3 linked regions of the Schizosaccharomyces pombe genome follow. The protein of the gene in region 3 purifies or fractionates together with the protein of the main gene of each other region. This does not show direct contact. Each region holds a gene or a part of one and is shown on either strand. Other genes may lie near its edges. The genes, in order: rim1, ssb2 and exo5.

Region 1 (4,397 bases), on a different chromosome or scaffold from region 3:
GATTTTTAGCATCAGTTTTGTTAAGACCTAAAGCCATTCTTTGAGTTTCGGTGTAAGCCATAATTCGACAACCCACCGTTCTAAAAAGCTCATTAGCCTTCATGGTCTTGACATTCAAGTCATTTGCCAAGGTAAGAACATCAGTTGAGTAATTATCAACGATTAAGCACAATACCAGAATATAACATATGATTTTATCAACTTCTCGAGATGATACTTGGACGCTACCAATACCGGTGGTTTGAGTAAAACGTTTAATCAACCCATCAATAAGAATCTCTGGTGGATCAGCCAATTTTTTACGTAAAGTTTCACGGTTGCCCACAGAACGACGAGAAAACAAAAAAGCTTGCAAAAGAGAAATGTAATACAAAATTCTCGCCCGCTTCTGGTCAACCTCCTCAATGGAAAGTAATCGCTGGAAGCGTTCATTAATAAACAAGGAGTGACGGTACGGCAATAATTTGGCCCAATTGCGCTCGTCAGGGTTTTCTAACAGAGGCTTAATGTAAATAGCTGAAAACTCTTCTTTGGGAATAATGTCCTCCAATTTGTATGCATCTTCAATGGATTCAGCACCGACATTGACAGGAGGAATAGGGCGATCTTGCGCTTGAGCAGCAGCGATATCTTCTTGCGTTGGAAGTGCTTCAGTAGCTTTTTGAACATTACTAACCAATTGATCCTTGACATCTCCCAAAGTTTCAGCTTTGACACGATTGGCGGACTCTTCCATAATAGCTTTTTGACTTTTTCTTGTACCAAATGCCAAACCCAAGTTGGCACGCTGTTCCATAACAGTACCGCTTACAGTTCCATGCTTCTTTTTCAAAAATTTGTCCTTCTCCTGAAGTGCCAAAATATTTCTTTCAAAAGTATTAAGATACTTTGCTGGAACAATCTTTTTTACACGACCAGTTTTATCAGCAACAGCTAAACAGTAATTTGCCTCAACCGTAGCCGTTGATTGATTTTTAGCCTCAAATTGAACACGCTCTGTCCTTCCAATTAACGACGCATCTCTGTTGCTCTGATTGCTCTTTTTGAGAAGCTGGAACCGGGTATTTTCGGGTGGATAAAATCCGGAAATTGTCGTGACAAGTGGTGGTAAACTCGATTCACTCAAAGGCAATATCTTAACGGATTTTTCATCACCGGAATGGGAATCTCTATATTTCCGCTTCTTGCCCTTTAACTCGTCACCTGCCATTCCAATAGTGGATGCTGTTGGTAAAAATGCTAGCGCTTAAAGAGCTTTGCTTGTTTGACGAAGTGTAGTGTACAGTCACAGAGGCTGCGAAATCTAACTTAACGAAGTTTGAGGATCAGTCATTAAATGAAAAGAATTAAAGAAACTGAATATTACAAATCGTAGAGTACACTTTAAAATAAAAAAAAATGATTATTAATTTACTGTAAAGGACTAACAAATTTGTCACTTTGAAAAAGAAGGAGTAAAGGTGACTAAGTAATTCCTAGAACGCAATGAAAACATTACAGCAGAGACATTATTGTCTATAAAAACAAATCAGAAGAGCCATGGGTAGATTATTTCCAGCGGAATAATGAAATAAACATCAAATGAAAAATACATAGCAATACCAAGTATGTGCATAATGCAGAGAAAATGAATTAGGAGACTTTTTAAACTCAATAATCCCTAGAAAAATACCACCCAAATATATTAACGGTCTAAAGTGCAGAAAATTTTTAAACTAGAAACACGAATTTTAGAAGCTGTTAATCATAGGATCTGCGTCTAATTCAGGATGAGTCTCTTCTCCGGATTCATCGCCATTTTTGTTACGAGGATAAAATAAAACGTCTGCAGATACTAATAAGAGAGGTTAGTAAATACTATATTCTGTTTTCAAATTTTGCTTCAGGCTTCAACTTGGACCATTGCAATGTTGCGTACCATGTCGCAGGCTCATTTTCGCTTGAGATCCTTCATTTCCAGCTGGGACGGAACGCCAAACAGCATCGGCCTCCACATAAACACGCGTTCCCTTCCTTAAAATAGTTTGAAGTCTGTCGAAATTGTAACTATCGAAAACATAAACCGAGTGAAAGGTAGGGGCTACGTCTTTTCCATTATTGGAAGCTACAGTATAACGCATATATTCGTTTCCTTTTTGAGACTGCAAACGCTCAACGTCTTTTGTTAAATTGCCAGTCAATGTCAAACGTTGAATATCTCTATAACGAACAGTCGATGAAGAAAACAGTCGTTTGGAAAATGCTCTGCTGGATTTTAAGAATAGCATGTTTTTAGTACCTTGAGCTCACAGGAAAGCAATTAATGGAGTCTTATTGTGTGGTGTTGTGGATGAGTGAAGTGCGCATACGTCGCATATACGAAGCGAAAAGTACTTGGAGAAGTGTGTGAATTGATAAAACCAAAGTTAGGGTAGAATTTGCTTTTAATTAGCTACATAGTAAAGAGTCTGAATATATTTCTACCCAAAATGAGCCATTTCCATGAGGTACTTTAGGTTTCTAATAAGTTTACGATACATTATGCTAGCATTTACAAATCAATGGAAGTAATACGAATTTTCTAATCTATGATCGTATATGATAAAAGTAATATCGGATTCATACTAATTCATACTAACAGTCATTGGATGCATGTTTGGTATATAAGCTGACATAAATTGAGTTTCGTAAATTCTATCATACTAGCATATCTAGGGATAGCAGAGGAAATAAATAATAAAATGCATTCTCTGCTCTTACAAGACGATCATTTAACATATTATAAAGGGGAAACGCATGGGTTCCAATCCGAATGATAATCCTCATCCAAGTTGTAGAGCTTCTCCATATCCTCTTTAGATATTTCGAAATCGAAAACGTCGCCATTCTCTTTGATCCTCCTGGGAGTAGAACTCTTGGGAAGTACAATGAATCCACGCTGTAGACAGTATCTAATCATGATTTGAGCCTCAGACTTGTTATACTTGCTAGCAATGGCGAGAAGTTGCTTGTTGCCAAACTTTTCACCATGAACAAGAGGAGCGTAGGCAGCAAGTTGGATACCCTTGGATTCACAGTAATCGACGACTTTTTGTTGGGAGCAAAAAGGGTGAAGTTCGATTTGATTGACACATGGTATAATCTTTGGATGGCTGTCCAACAATTCCTGGATGTGATGAGGACCAAAGTTGGAAACGCCGATAGCACGAAGTTTTCCCTCTTCAACACCTTTCTCCAACGCCTTCCATGATTCAATACGATCACCATAGGGAGAGTGAAGAAGAAACAGATCAATATAGCCAAGGCCACATGCCTTAACACTGGCATCAATACTGCTCAAAGTAGATTTGTACCCACTTAAATCATTAAGCTTGCTAGTGAACCAAATATCCTCTCGTTTCGTACCAGTCTCTTCCATGAACTTAAGGATGGCTCTTCCACAGTCAGCCTCGTTGTGATACATCTGAGCCGAATCGATGTGTCGATATCCGCATTGAAGGGCAGCATACACCGAATCGAAGCATTTTGTACGATTCACCATGTAAGAACCGTAAGCAAATTGAGGGCACTTAAGTCCATTGTTTAACTTAACAAATGATCCCAACATAATGTATGAACAAAAAAATAAAATTAAATTAAAAGAAAAAAGTCAAAAATTAATGAACGAGGAAATTGATAATTATTCAATTAAGCAATCAACGAGATTCAGCAAAATTGAATATAACCAAGCTGTTTTTCAATGCTATTGAGTATTTTTGAAATATTCAATATTTTCAACTACCAAAGAAAAGAACGTTATAAATTCTTTTCACTAAAATGGTATTGCTAACCCGACATGCGAACAACACAGTACTATTTATACCATGAAAAACTTCTGATATAACATTAATGAGTGGTAATGATAAGCAACATCCCGAAGCACCATCACGTTTTTACCTTACGTACAGCGACATGTAAAGAATGATGTTAACCCAGCTTTTCGTCACAAAAGTTCGTTAAGCTTCGAATTCGTACTAATCGATCGATGGAATTCAGCAATGTTCGTTCGAGAATGAAATGAATAAAATGCTATGTATGAGATCAATCGAAGCTTGTGACAAATGCTGAATCGCGAATATAGCGGTTTTTTGAGAAATTTGTGATTGAGCGGGTTTTATAGTTTTTAAGCGGATTTTTATGCGAGAGCAAAAGACTGAACTCCAATAGTAATTATTGATAAAAATGCATTTAATGAACAATGCGTTTGTACTTGCTGAGTATTAGCTTAATTGACATCAAGGTGTGGTAGACTTATAATCAACAAGAGAAAACGCTCTCAAGTTTTATTATACATTTTATTTATCTTACCTTTAAACATTATTCGTGTCTTTTAAACCGACGTAAATGTATGATTAAAATAGTATGGAATGCGCTACTTT
Region 2 (7,405 bases), on a different chromosome or scaffold from region 3:
GGGTACCATCTTAGAAGGAAAGATTGAGGCTGGTTCGATTAAGAAAAATTCAAACGTATTGGTTATGCCAATTAATCAAACCCTTGAAGTTACAGCCATATATGATGAAGCTGATGAAGAAATCTCTTCTTCTATTTGCGGTGACCAAGTTCGTCTCCGTGTCCGTGGTGACGATTCGGATGTCCAAACTGGTTATGTTTTAACATCCACTAAAAACCCAGTTCATGCTACTACTCGTTTCATTGCACAAATTGCGATCCTTGAGTTGCCTTCAATTTTGACAACTGGTTATTCTTGTGTAATGCACATTCATACCGCTGTCGAGGAAGTTTCATTTGCCAAGTTGCTCCATAAACTTGACAAAACAAACCGCAAAAGCAAGAAACCCCCCATGTTTGCTACCAAGGGTATGAAAATTATTGCAGAGTTGGAAACACAAACTCCGGTTTGTATGGAAAGGTTTGAGGACTATCAGTATATGGGCCGTTTCACTTTGCGTGATCAGGGTACTACGGTTGCAGTTGGCAAAGTCGTAAAAATTTTGGATTAGGGTAATTTCGGCAATTTTCTCGTGCTCGGGATTTGTTTCTATGCAAATGTATGACACTTTATGGTTCTACTGTATATAATCCAACTAGGACAAAATGGGATTTGCTTATTTTTTAGTTGGTGGACTAGCGGTATGGTAGAAGATGTATATCTAATCGTTATATACGCGTATTACTATGCCTAATTTCAATGCGATGGGTTGTATATATGAAGAATAATGGACATTCACTCCTTTACACCCTATTCACTTTGAAATTATTTACTTTTTTCGTACAGAATTCAATGCGAGGAGTAGGTCAGCAAATAGTAAATAAGCAGTTGCACTTTGCAGCTATGGAAGGGTGAAATGTGATAATAAGTTGTTGTTTTTTTACAATCCATATTAATGATTAAAACTACACTTGAAATCTTCATAATATTGTAAAATAATAGTTTATTTAAATCACTAGATATACTGAAATTTATTGTGCTACTACACCAAATCTTACCGAATAAATACCGAGGTGGATCATATTTACAGTAATCCGATCATTCTACCGTTTACATTCCACCAGCATTTCTGTACCGTATCCGAATTTCACGTACTCTTTTGACGTTGCTTGGTTTTAAGAGTAAGCATTGAAGTGTTGAAAGGTATAGTTTTTGCTATTCCGTTTAGGAATACGGGACATTGACGTTTTGAGATGACACTGCTGGAGCTCCAAAAAGAATGTATGGTTATTTGTGCTGGTGTATTACTAACAAATAAGTGTTTCTTAGCAAAATTAATTCAGTAGAATGTGCTACGAAGGTAAGAGATGGAACCCGTGAAACTTATAACGTGCACTGAAATGTTTACTGGGAATTTTGATTTGGATATTGTTTAAATGGAATTGAATTTGTGAATATGCAGCATATTATTTCCTCCGACATATTTTTTTTAAACTATCAAAATTGGCCTATTTCTAATTTGGAGCCGTTCAGTTTCACATCTTTGGCTTTTGGTTTGTGCCTAACAGATAAATAGTGGAAAGTTCTAATCGTGGATACCAAAACAGCGGACATTATTAACCATTTTATCACTATTCACAGCCTTTTAGAGGAGAAAATTGCCGCTGTCGAAATTTTGGAGAATCCGCGTACCCCCAATTCGTCATTCGAAGCGTTGTATATACTTCATTCAGAGGAAAAATTAGTTGATTGCATTCTGAAAGACGAAGAATATGATAAAAGGTATCCAGGAATACATATCGTATTCCTAGACATGGTGAAGGAGCCACTAATCAATAAATTACGAACGTCTAGGATTGCCTCAAAAATTCGTACAGTCCAAGTCGCCTATTTGGATTTCACTAGTCTTGAATCAAGATATTTTCAAGTACATGATTCCTTTTCCGGACTACGCCTTTACCATCCATCTAACGCTGCAATCATTCGTCAAGAGCTTTCCAAGGTTGCGCATGGAATTTTTTCAGTTTGCGTCAGCCTTGGCATCTCCCCCAACATTCGTTGTTATTATCCAAAAAATGCCCCACATGCATCCAAAACGATGTCCTTCATTTTAGCAAATCAACTAAGTGAAATTGTTGAAGAATACTGTTCTAAACACCCGGGATACCATGAAGCCGCCTCAAAATCTACTTGTCTAATTGTCGATCGATCATTAGACACTGCAGCTCCTTTCTTACACGAGTTTACGTATCAAGCTATGATTCATGATCTTTTACCTATTAAGAATGAACAATATCCTTATGAAATTTTGGGTCCTCAAGGTACTGAGAAACGTACTGGTAAATTGGATGATGATGATTTAGTTTACACGACCATTCGACATATGCACATGAGAGATGCTATTGAAAAGCTGATGAAAGATTTCAATCAATTTTGCATCGACAATACTCTGTTTCTTGATAAAGAACGTGCCACGTCCCTGAATGACATGCGTAGTATGTTGGCGGGTTTATCCGATTTTCAAGAGCTCAGAGATCAATATTCATTACATCTAACAATGGCTCAGGAATGCATGAATATTTTTGAAAAACAGCAATTAAACTTGATCGGTGCTATTGAACAAGACCTTTCTACTGGCAGCAACGTTGAAGGCAAAGTCCCCCGAAGTGTACTTTCTGAACTGCTACCCCTATTGGATGAAGGTAATGCAGAAGAGAGTACCAAAATTCGCCTTCTTCTTTTATACATTATATATCGTGATGGAATCATTTTGCAGGACCTATTTCGACTTTTCCGTCATAGCAATCTATCAACCTCTCGAGAACAAATATTTCAAAACCTAGAGCAGCTTGGAACAAGGGTGATTAAAAACTTGACTGATCAAAGCAGCAAGAGAAAAGAGGTTGCAAATTCTCTTCCCGCAGGTGAAGATGTTTATGAACTTTCAAGATATGTTCCCACTTTAAAGGTAGTCTTGGAAAATCTTATCCAAGATAAGTTGGATCCAGAGCTTTTTCCGTACGTCCGAAATACCACTCCCCAGACAGAAGTAAGTATGGAACAGACCTCTCTACGTAGTTCCCGACCATCTTGGACTCGATCTCGTTCAATGGCTTCCAAATTACCGCGAGAAAAAATGCTCGTTTTTGTTGCGGGAGGCACTACTTTCAGTGAATTACGAACCTGTTATGAACTTTCCGATAAATATAACAAAGACATTTATATTGGGAGTACAGTATGTTATTCTCCAAATGAATGGTTGGACTTTTTCTCAAAGTTCCAACAACCAAGAGAGGCATTAAAATTTCCTGAAGATAAACCCAGGCATATACCATGCTTAGAGGCTCGCCCTAGTCCTAATAGAATACAAGAACAGCCAAACATTGATGTACCTTCGACTAGATATGAAAATACATCATCTTCCGACGCTGTTTCAATTCATAAAGATGAAAAGAAAAGTAAAGGAAAGTCACATAAGCTAGGAAAGCTAATGATGAGCTCAAAGAAAGACAAAGACAAATCTAAAGAAAAAGTACCCACTTACGGAACCAGTGATAAAAAGAAAAAGAAGCGTTTTGGTGTTTTCTAGATTTAAGTGCCTTTTGCTTCATTGCACCATGTGAGAATGTATAATTACCAGTTTTAATACTGGCTTTTCTAAGCATTTCAAAAAATGGCCCTATAATCCCAATAAGCTAACTAGGTATTCAACTAGAATTTTGTTTTGAGTTAAAAATGTAATGACTATTCATATTATTAATGAAAGAGCGAGTTCAATCTCAAAAAAAGGAATTCCTTGCCCAAAAAACTAATATCTATGCAGTGAATCCCATTTTAGTCTGCTGTTATATAATTCAACGTGTTCATTTGGGGTATAATTATGGTTCTTGTTCCCAAACAATCAAATGAATTTAATGAACAGTTAATGGACGAAGCAAAAGCTTTAACCTCGAAACGCAATACCAAAATCATTATTTCAAAATCATAAAAAGCGTTATTGGTCTTGTAAAACACTTTTAAAATGATTTTCATCAATTGTTGTGTAGATGATTCCTTCTTGTTGAAGAAAATCAGTAACCGCCGTAAGGTCTATACCGGGACCCACGCTTTGAGCAAGTTGTCTAACGTGAACACCTTCATTCGTCTCTGGTGCACTATGGATAGCTTGCATAACGGTCATTTGTGCGGGGGTTAGTGAATATTCAGCTAGTTTTTGTTCCAGAGAGTTGGCAGCACCATTTGAAGAAATGTTATTGTAGCCTAGTGCGTTGGAAGTTCCGTAGCCTGGAGCGTTGGCTCCGTTCACAGCATTTGCTTTCTGAGTGAAATGTAGGTGTACAGCAATTGCTTCAAGGAAATGAAAATGGACTTCATTATGGTCTTTAATTGTACGGATGTATTGAGAAGCAATGTAAATTTTTCCAGAAAATATTTTGATGTTTCCATACACACGAACATAGGTGTCTGTAGCAAGTTCAGATAGCGCATCAATGTGTTCCCAATGCCTTACTTCAATCATTCCTGTTCCATCTTCTATTTGATATGTTGTGTTTGTAGTTTGAGCGTGAATGTTCCGTAAAACTCCTACAAAAGTAACCTGTCCGACTTCAACGCCATCTATCTTGAATTCTGCATCAGCGTGAACTTGAGAGGCATTGAGAATTTGCTTAATGGTAACAGGACGTAATTTATTTCCAGCTCCTTGTTGCTAAACATTGGAAAAATTAGTATTAGATATTTTTATGAATAAGGTCAGTGCTAGTACAAAACTATCAACCAAAAAGTATCACCTTGCGGTTATTCAAACAATAGTTTTAGTATTTTATCCCACTTACTCTATCGACGCTGGGCTGGCTCGATTGATCATATTCATTAAATCCAGCGCCTCCTCCCATTCCTGGAGAAAAAGCGCTATTGAAGTCGGGACCATAGCCCGGCTTGCCAAAAGCATCATAAGCCATGAGCACGTATTATCTCAAATTATGAAAGTTTGTTAGGGTGAATTAAAGAGCGATGAAAAAGCAAATCAACCACTTAAAAATATATCTGCGATCTTTTAGAGAGTGATTTTTAAATAATTGAATATAAAGTTACAGCTGATTCCACGAGTAGTCTACTTTTCAGTGGTGTGTTTAGTACAAGTTACGAGTCGCGTTTCGCGGTGGTGTACCGAAAAGAATAAAATCAAGCAAGCGTGCTTATATACTACAATGTAATAAAATTAACTGTTTTATTTAGAAAACCATCTTACATCTACTTTTTTTCTCTATAACCGTATAGTTTTCAATACAAAAACCTACTAATCACGGGATGCTCAATTGACTTAAAACGCTTAAAGCAATCAGATACTGTGCTACCATTCTGCTTTACCAAATGTAAAGAAAAACTAAAAAATACATTATTAAATTTGTAAACATTAACACATTCATATGTAACAAGAAGGCATGGAACAAATGTCCGACGCAATTTTACAAATCGTATAGGAAGAAAAGCGATTTATCCACAACAAAAGAATAGCTAATGGTGAATGACTATTCGCACATCGACATATACAAAATAAGAACATAAACGTATTGCTATGCACAATCCATCCATTTTATGTATTGAGGAAATATAGTATTGGGGACATAAATTTTGAATATAGTTTTGAAGACAGATGCTTAATGCAAGCAGTAAAATGTAAGAGCATCTGAAAAATGAAAACGAGTGAATGATAGTTGGTAAAGCTGAACATAAACATTCTATATAAGGAAGAATTGTTTAGGCGACTAAGCGTTCCAAAAATGAATTCCCCGAGATGAATAGAAAACTGTCATAGACACAGTACATATATATACATCGATAATTGTGAGCGGCCTTATCAATTTGAAGCAGCCAAGCTTTAAACCATCTTCCAATCCGAGCCTTTTGCCAAGTTAAGTAGTGCCAAAATTTAATACTTCGAAATAAATTCTGGGAAGCGAAAATTAAAGTATGACATATATTAGAGGTGATGCAAAAATGGGAGATATTAAAATATTAGTTGGTTTACCACAGTTGTTTCCATTCACATTCCATTGTCATTCACTGGATGGCTTTAACAAAAAAGGAAGACATATGAATGCAAAGGCTATGAGAAAATTTTAAGAAGTAAAGTGATAATAAAATCGTCATAAAAAGAAATTATAATACAAGAAGAGGAGCTTGTGAGACTTCACCATAAACAAAAATAAAAAGAACAAATCCTTCTATTTTTCCTCACCAAATTTACCCCGCCACCATTTTAAAGTCAACTCCTTTATTTGATCCCAATAACTTTTACTCGAATCTCTTTCCTTCAAATACGTGTAGCCACGATAACAAATCCAAATAAAATCTGACAAGGCAATAAAGATGGCAACGAAGTTGTCTGCAAAGACTGCAACAAATGCGAATCGTTTGCATGAACCAGAGCAGTGCAACGGTTGGGCAAGTATAACGATAATCTGTATTTGAGGGAGAATCCACATAAAGATAAAAATTGCAGGATAAGCAAACAAAAACTTAGACTGACTTAAAATGCGTTTCCGTTGTTTAAGGAGGGGATCATCTTGCATATCATTTCCATATGCAGCCAAAACACTAGAAGCACCATCTTCGTCACTAGTCAATGGACTACTGAGTTTAAAACTCGTGTGATCTTCAAGGCCATTTGTGCGATTTGGACTATCCCTAAAATCCTGTTCGAAATGTATTCCTGATTGATTTAGATTAGCAGGAGTAGACTGCGAACCAGGAGGCAAATTAGGATGCACAGAGGATAGTAACGGTCTCGAATAGGGAGAAGGTTGAGACTGCGAGGAGTAAATGGATTGAGAATTAGATGGAGTATATGTTAAAGTACTGTTGGTGTCGGGAAATGGTGGAAGAGCTACTTGATCCGGAGCGGTAGGATACGAATCAATGACATTTAAAGTATCAAACACATTTGTTTGTTGATGTGAGTATTTCTTGAAACGTTTGATTTTCCTTCTGATCGAGATGAACATGCAAGTTTGTAAAGCAATAATTGCAATACTTAGCGCATAATCAAATGACCAATTCAAACCAAACATGAATCGTACAGGGGTATAGGGAAGGTAGCATCGGGTTTGTAAATTGACAAATGTATTTCTTTTATTGGTAAAAGCAAGTCCGCCAATAGTTAAAGGAATTACAAATGACAGTGTAAACACAGTATGCCGAAAACGATATAGACCCCTTCGTTCAGTATCAACATGGGGGAAAAGCACCAAAAGAGCATTATGCAATATGTTGATAAAAATCCAATAATCAGTCATCCGAACAAGTACCAAAAGAAAAAATCCAATTGTAAAGCATCGATGTTTTGGAGCCCAAAAAAAAGGATCGCTTAATGCTAGACATGGATGAATCATTTGCACAATGGAACGAATAAACAATACAGAAA
Region 3 (5,297 bases):
AAATATTTGCAACCACATCGTCTACACACTTGAAATTGGAGGAAGTCCATCCATTCGTATTGACGGTGTAGTTGGAGACTGCCGATCCATTGTTCGTGACAGAAACCGTAGACATATTAGCCCTAGGGGTACCAACAACACAAAGCCTAGAGGTAGAGTAATTAACATATTGTTGACTTAAACCGAAATAAGAAAATATTTCCGAATTTACGCTAACGACTGAACTCTGGCTACTTGAGCTACTGCTTGAGCTTGTGTTTGTAGCAGCAGAAGTTGAACTATTCCATGAAATGGAACTATTAGTGGTTGAATTGGTTGGATAGACTGATCCTCCAGAAACACTTCCGGTTGAATTCATTGTGGAAGTGGAATTGCTGGATGACTGAGTATAGTTGGAAGCATAACCTGTAACAGAATTGGCCAGGGAAGAGAAGACACCGAAAGACACGTCGTCCAAAACTAACAGTTGCGCATTGTCAATGTAATCCAAAATAGGGCTATAAAGTACTGACCCAACAGAACTCTGACCCGATGGACCGTAAATGCTTGCCCATCCTGGTGAAACAAGTGAAAATCTCTCGCGAGAGGAAATCCATTCAGTACCGTTAAATAGAACTACGTCTATAACGACATCTTGAGAAGTAGTATTATTGGCATCGACAGGAGGATAAATGGCCAAATCTTTGTCATTACTAGGAATGCCTGGTGATGGTAGAGCATTAGCTAGACCCGCGGCACCTAGGAGAGAAACAAACAAGCTACCAAAGAATTGCATCGTCACCGAGATCTAGAAAATGCAATAAAAAAACCATGCTCTTTTAAATAGAGATTTAACACAAATTATATCGATTACATAGAAATGATTTCAATTGCCTCTTAAAGATTGATAAAAAAATTAAAAGTTGATGACTTCAACAACCTAGCAGCCCTATCAAAATATGATGGAAGAAAATCGTTGCTAAACATATAGGATGCCAATGACCAACTATGTTCTGGGAATCTTTTCAACTGTCATTATTCCCAATTACGGACTTGAAAGAGGGTAATACTGTTTCTTTTTGAGCCACCAACATTCTTTCTGAAATTCACAACTTCGGCATTTGTAGACTTCCTCTGCAGGAACGCCTTCAGGCTCCCTTAAATTGTGCCAAAATTGATAAGCCTTAGTATAGGAAGCTTCTAATAATTTATTGCTAAAAGAGAATTTGTCTTTGTATACCACTTCTCCTGTTTTGTCATTCCTGTATGCCTAGTAAAAGATGTTAGTAACGATAGTTCAGACAATCATATTACGAAAAGGATTCTAATCATCGTAAAAAAAATTAAAAGTTGTAATGATAACGAAATAATTTTCGAGTTAATTGGTTGTGTCACTTACAATGGTAAGATTGTCATCAGTAAGACGTAAATGCAACTTCTTAGCTGAAGCAAATACGAGTGCATAAAGTCCATTTAGCGAGTTATGACCTGCAAAGACATCTTCAGGAATATCGGGAATTGAAAGAATTGATTGCTCTAAAAATTTCGGCCCCAAGTCCTTGGTGCCGTCCAGCGATAGTTGGCTCAAAAACATGTTCCACCAGTGACTTTGAGAATGAAGTCTGTTAGAATATGTAGGAGAAATATCCCTAAAAATGCTTTGTTGTTTTTCTCCTAGAGAGGGGAAATAATTTAAAAAGAGATGAACGTAATACATTAGTTGTACTTTGGAACTAAGAATTTGTGAAGCTCCAGGCTTTCTGGAAGAAAACCGAGTTTTATTGTCAACAAAACTTAAATCGTACATTTTGAAATTGAAGTAATTGCGGATGTCACTATTAAAATTGCTTTTTGAAGGGTTGTTTAGACTTATTTCATCAATAATGCCAAAAATTGAGGACTCTTTGTAATATCCCCAGATTGGAAACTCTCTTGTAATTCCATTTTTTTGTAATAACATAATACCTTCTAATTGCCTTAATAATCGTAATGCCCATGGTTCCTCCTTGGATGTCCGATCAAGCACTCGACGTTCTGATGGAGGGGAGGTTTCATACTCAAGTATTTGATGCAGCTTAATTCCGCGTTCCATCTTCGGGGTCTTTTTTTTAATTCTTCTCAATAAATAGTATTCATGTTGCACTTCACACCACAAAGGTAAAACAAGGTCAGTAACCTAATAATAGGTTCTGTCAGTAAATGAAAAACATGCAATTGATTAATGCTTGTAAATGATTATGCTAAGAATAGCATTGTCTCAATCCGCTATTATAAATCTGTTGACAAAACCATAAAAAATCATTCACAAACTTCAGAAAGACCTTACATTTAAATAACCTTTGTGTTTTCGAAACAGTTGGAATAATGAACTTTCTTTTAACATTTCACAAACTGAACGTTGATTATTAGCTTGTCTGGTTCATGACTTGAGTGAAATATATCGTACCTTCGTCCTCTAGTTTAGAAATTTCCCTGCTTACGAGCAATTGTGGTGGAATGCTCAAAGAATAATCCAATTGGCTAATAGTCAATCTTTGTGTTTCAAGATAGTCCATATAAGAGACTAATTCGCTCAAATCTTCCATCTCAAAATCTTCATATTCTTCCATAGACTTAATGTTTCGTTAGGATGATTTATTCAGGTGCGGGTTACGTTAGTTCACACATTTAATAGAATAATTCTTTTTTTTAAAGTAACCAACCAGACGGTAAAAAAGCTTTACACTAGTTTTATTAAAATGGTGGAACGTAAATGTCTAGTGTAACCAAAACTAGCAATGTAAACTGTGCTAAACTATTGATGATAGAAGTACTTTCACAGTTTCTTTTCGTTCAAAGAAATTAAAACTTTGAACAAGTAGATTAAGTTTCTGGCAATGTCAAACTACGTTTGTTAATGGCTAATGTTATTGCGGCACAAAAACTAATTATCAGCGATGCTTCAATGTCTAAGATGGAGGTCTATTTCATTATAATTGTTATTAGTAGATTCAAAAACCTTTAATCTAATTTAATTTTGTCATCTAACTCTATGCAAATTGTTTCATAAGATAAATTAAAGTATTTCTCTATTAATTTCCCAGTTCTTTAATATACAAAATTCATTTCAAAAATCCAGAACTCTATAAAAAACCCATGTTTTTCTTATAGTTATCAATTTCTGCTTGGGTCAAACGATCTTGAGATGACCAGTCAGCAGAAGAGCTTCTTGGTCGAAATCGAATCTTCGATCGATCCTTCGATCGGAAATACTCATCCATTTGCAGAGGTTTAATCATACCGAAAATTTTGTCTGGATCCCACTTTTGTTGTCGTTTTAATTGCTCTCGTAACTCAGGTGATTCAGCCCACGATGGTAAATTTACCTTTTTCTTATTACCTTCATCATCTGAATCATCCGAATAATCGCTATTTATTTCTGGTAATTCCACAGACGTGTTAGGCGATAGGGATCCATATCCAGGAAAATAATTCGACTTAGGCGTTTTCAGTAACGGTGATTTAGAAGAGGGCTCCTGCATAGACGAGTTCCTACCTTTAGCTGGAGCGTGCATAGAAGCTTTTTCAATAAAAGGTTTATTTGATTGTGAAGTACTAGAAGATGGAAGCTTTCCTTTCATAATACCATTCTGCTTAGTAAAAGGGTTGACGTTGTGATGCATTGTTTTGAATCCATGTTGATTCGTAAGACCGACATTACCATGTACGGGATTCTTATTTTTTTGTGCAGCTATCTTCTTTTTTCGATCTTCATTCTGACTATTAGTGGTCCCTATATCGAAGTTGTTTCTCAAACTACCAACAGAAGGCTGAGTTACAGAAGTAACTGAGTCAGGCTCCATTTTTTTTGGAATAGTTGAATGAAATGCCAATGACATGTCCTCAGCTAGCTCATTCGCAAACCTTTGAGTGGGTTTCGACGTGACGCGTGTTAACCCAGATTTTAGCATATGCCTTGAAGTTGCACCGTTGTCGGTTAACGGTTTCTTCTTTCGTAAATCTTCTTGTCTTTTTAACATATTTGAATGCCATGAAGCATTCACATTTGATGGGTTAGTAACAAGTCTTTTGGTCGTTGGTTTTTCTGATTTTTCCTCAAATGGCTTATTTGAGTGCATGCTTTTACTTGATGGTATAGCATCTGGTTCAGAACGAGGTTTATCGGAAATAGTATGTTCCATATCCCTAATGTTAGATGAATTGGCTGATGTGACAGTTTTGGTCTGACGACTTGGAAATTCGTTGTTTGATAACTCTCGTTCTTTACCATAGAACTTTTTGAAGCGATGAGTTTCGTTTTCAGAAGAGCGGCTTTCCATATTTGAAGCATTTGCTGCTCCATTTTTTGCTTTTCGCTTTTCAGTTTGCTCAAGTTCGCGTTGAGAGGCTGTGGCCACACGAATTGCAATCGGACGTGAATGCGGAGCAAAGTTGTGATCAGAATTTTGACGAGAATCATCATGCAATGGTTCAGATAACTTGTGCAGAGATTTTTCAATAAATTCCTTCTTGGAAGGCGGCAAAGAAGAGTCCGTATTTTCGTTTGCATCCGATTTCAAAGCGTTTGAGCTTGGTCTAGAATTTGAAGAATTAAAATCATTTGACGACTTTCTGGTTGAAAGCCTTGTGAATGTGCTTATCAGGGGGATCTTAGGCGCTTGAGTGATTACAGCATGACTTTTTGCAGGGCTTAAGGAAGACTCGTCGTTTTTATTATTCAGCTTCATTTTAGCAAGGTGCAAATCCTTAGCTGCAGAGTTTTTAGCAGCATCTAAAACTGCATTAATCGGTTTCTTCGTGGGCGGAGTCGAAGGAATTAATCTTTTATTAGAACTTACTTCTTGTATTTTCTGCCTTAATCGTTCGGCACGATCATAAGTTTTCAGTTCATAGTGGTTTTCATTGGAGGCAGTTAGCTCGTTCAATTTAGCAATAGAATCGGGAATTTTGGCTTCAAAAAAGTCAAACTCTTGACTTTTGGCATCACTTCCAGGTTGAGAAGATACAGGTAGTCTCTCTTCATTGGATTTTAATTTGGCCGTTAATGCCTCAGCTTCTACTGCGTTGGATTTATCGAAGGAAGTAATTTCGGGAGGGGATTCAAAAATAGTTGGATGAGGTTTAAGCATTTCATTTTCGACAGACCTTTTTCTTTCCTTGGAAGAAGAAGTAACAGTTTCAGAAGAGAAGGCGACTCCTGAACTTCTTTTACGAGTTTTGTAAGAAGTCGATAACCTAGTAGACGACGTGAGCGATTCCTTGGCTGATAAATCTGTCTTGGCGGGGATGACTGATGAAAGGAATTTTCGAAATTTAGA

The links.
Region 1: the proteins of exo5 (region 3) and rim1 purify together in Schizosaccharomyces pombe (co-purification; one study listed by BioGRID). This does not show direct contact.
Region 2: the proteins of exo5 (region 3) and ssb2 purify together in Schizosaccharomyces pombe (co-purification; one study listed by BioGRID). This does not show direct contact.

The regions. Positions count from the first base shown.
Region 1 is NC_003424.3:3,926,051-3,930,447, forward strand, and holds rim1 (single-strand DNA-binding protein Rim1), read right to left. Parts: upstream 2,328-4,397; 5' UTR 2,268-2,327; coding exon 1,919-2,267; intron 1,835-1,918; coding exon 1,731-1,834; 3' UTR 1,401-1,730; downstream 1-1,400. Other genes in the region: DNA-directed RNA polymerase I complex subunit Rpa49, read right to left, coding at 1-1,210; SPOM_SPAC2F3.05C (xylose and arabinose reductase), read right to left, coding at 2,759-3,586. UniProt on the Schizosaccharomyces pombe protein: This protein binds preferentially and cooperatively to ss-DNA. Involved in mitochondrial DNA replication.
Region 2 is NC_003421.2:1,536,975-1,544,379, forward strand, and holds ssb2 (single-stranded DNA-binding protein Ssb2), read right to left. Parts: upstream 5,119-7,405; 5' UTR 4,941-5,118; coding exon 4,815-4,940; exon of another isoform or gene 4,688-4,814; coding exon 3,974-4,687; 3' UTR 3,569-3,973; coding exon of another isoform or gene 1,556-3,568; 3' UTR 1,416-1,555; downstream 1-1,415. Other genes in the region: eRF3-like class 2 translation release factor sup35, read left to right, coding at 1-550; SNARE-binding protein Sec1, read left to right, coding at 1,233-1,260, 1,299-1,339, 1,556-3,568; G-protein-coupled receptor Git3, read right to left, coding at 6,207-7,405. UniProt on the Schizosaccharomyces pombe protein: Binds to single-stranded sequences.
Region 3 is NC_003423.3:2,770,175-2,775,471, reverse strand, and holds exo5 (single-strand DNA-specific 5'-3' exodeoxyribonuclease Exo5), read right to left. Parts: upstream 2,620-5,297; 5' UTR 2,589-2,619; coding exon 2,426-2,588; exon of another isoform or gene 2,371-2,425; coding exon 2,306-2,370; exon of another isoform or gene 2,156-2,305; coding exon 1,379-2,155; intron 1,250-1,378; coding exon 1,025-1,249; downstream 1-1,024. Other genes in the region: SPOM_SPBC685.03 (uncharacterized protein), read right to left, coding at 1-775; INCENP-like protein Pic1, read right to left, coding at 3,102-5,297.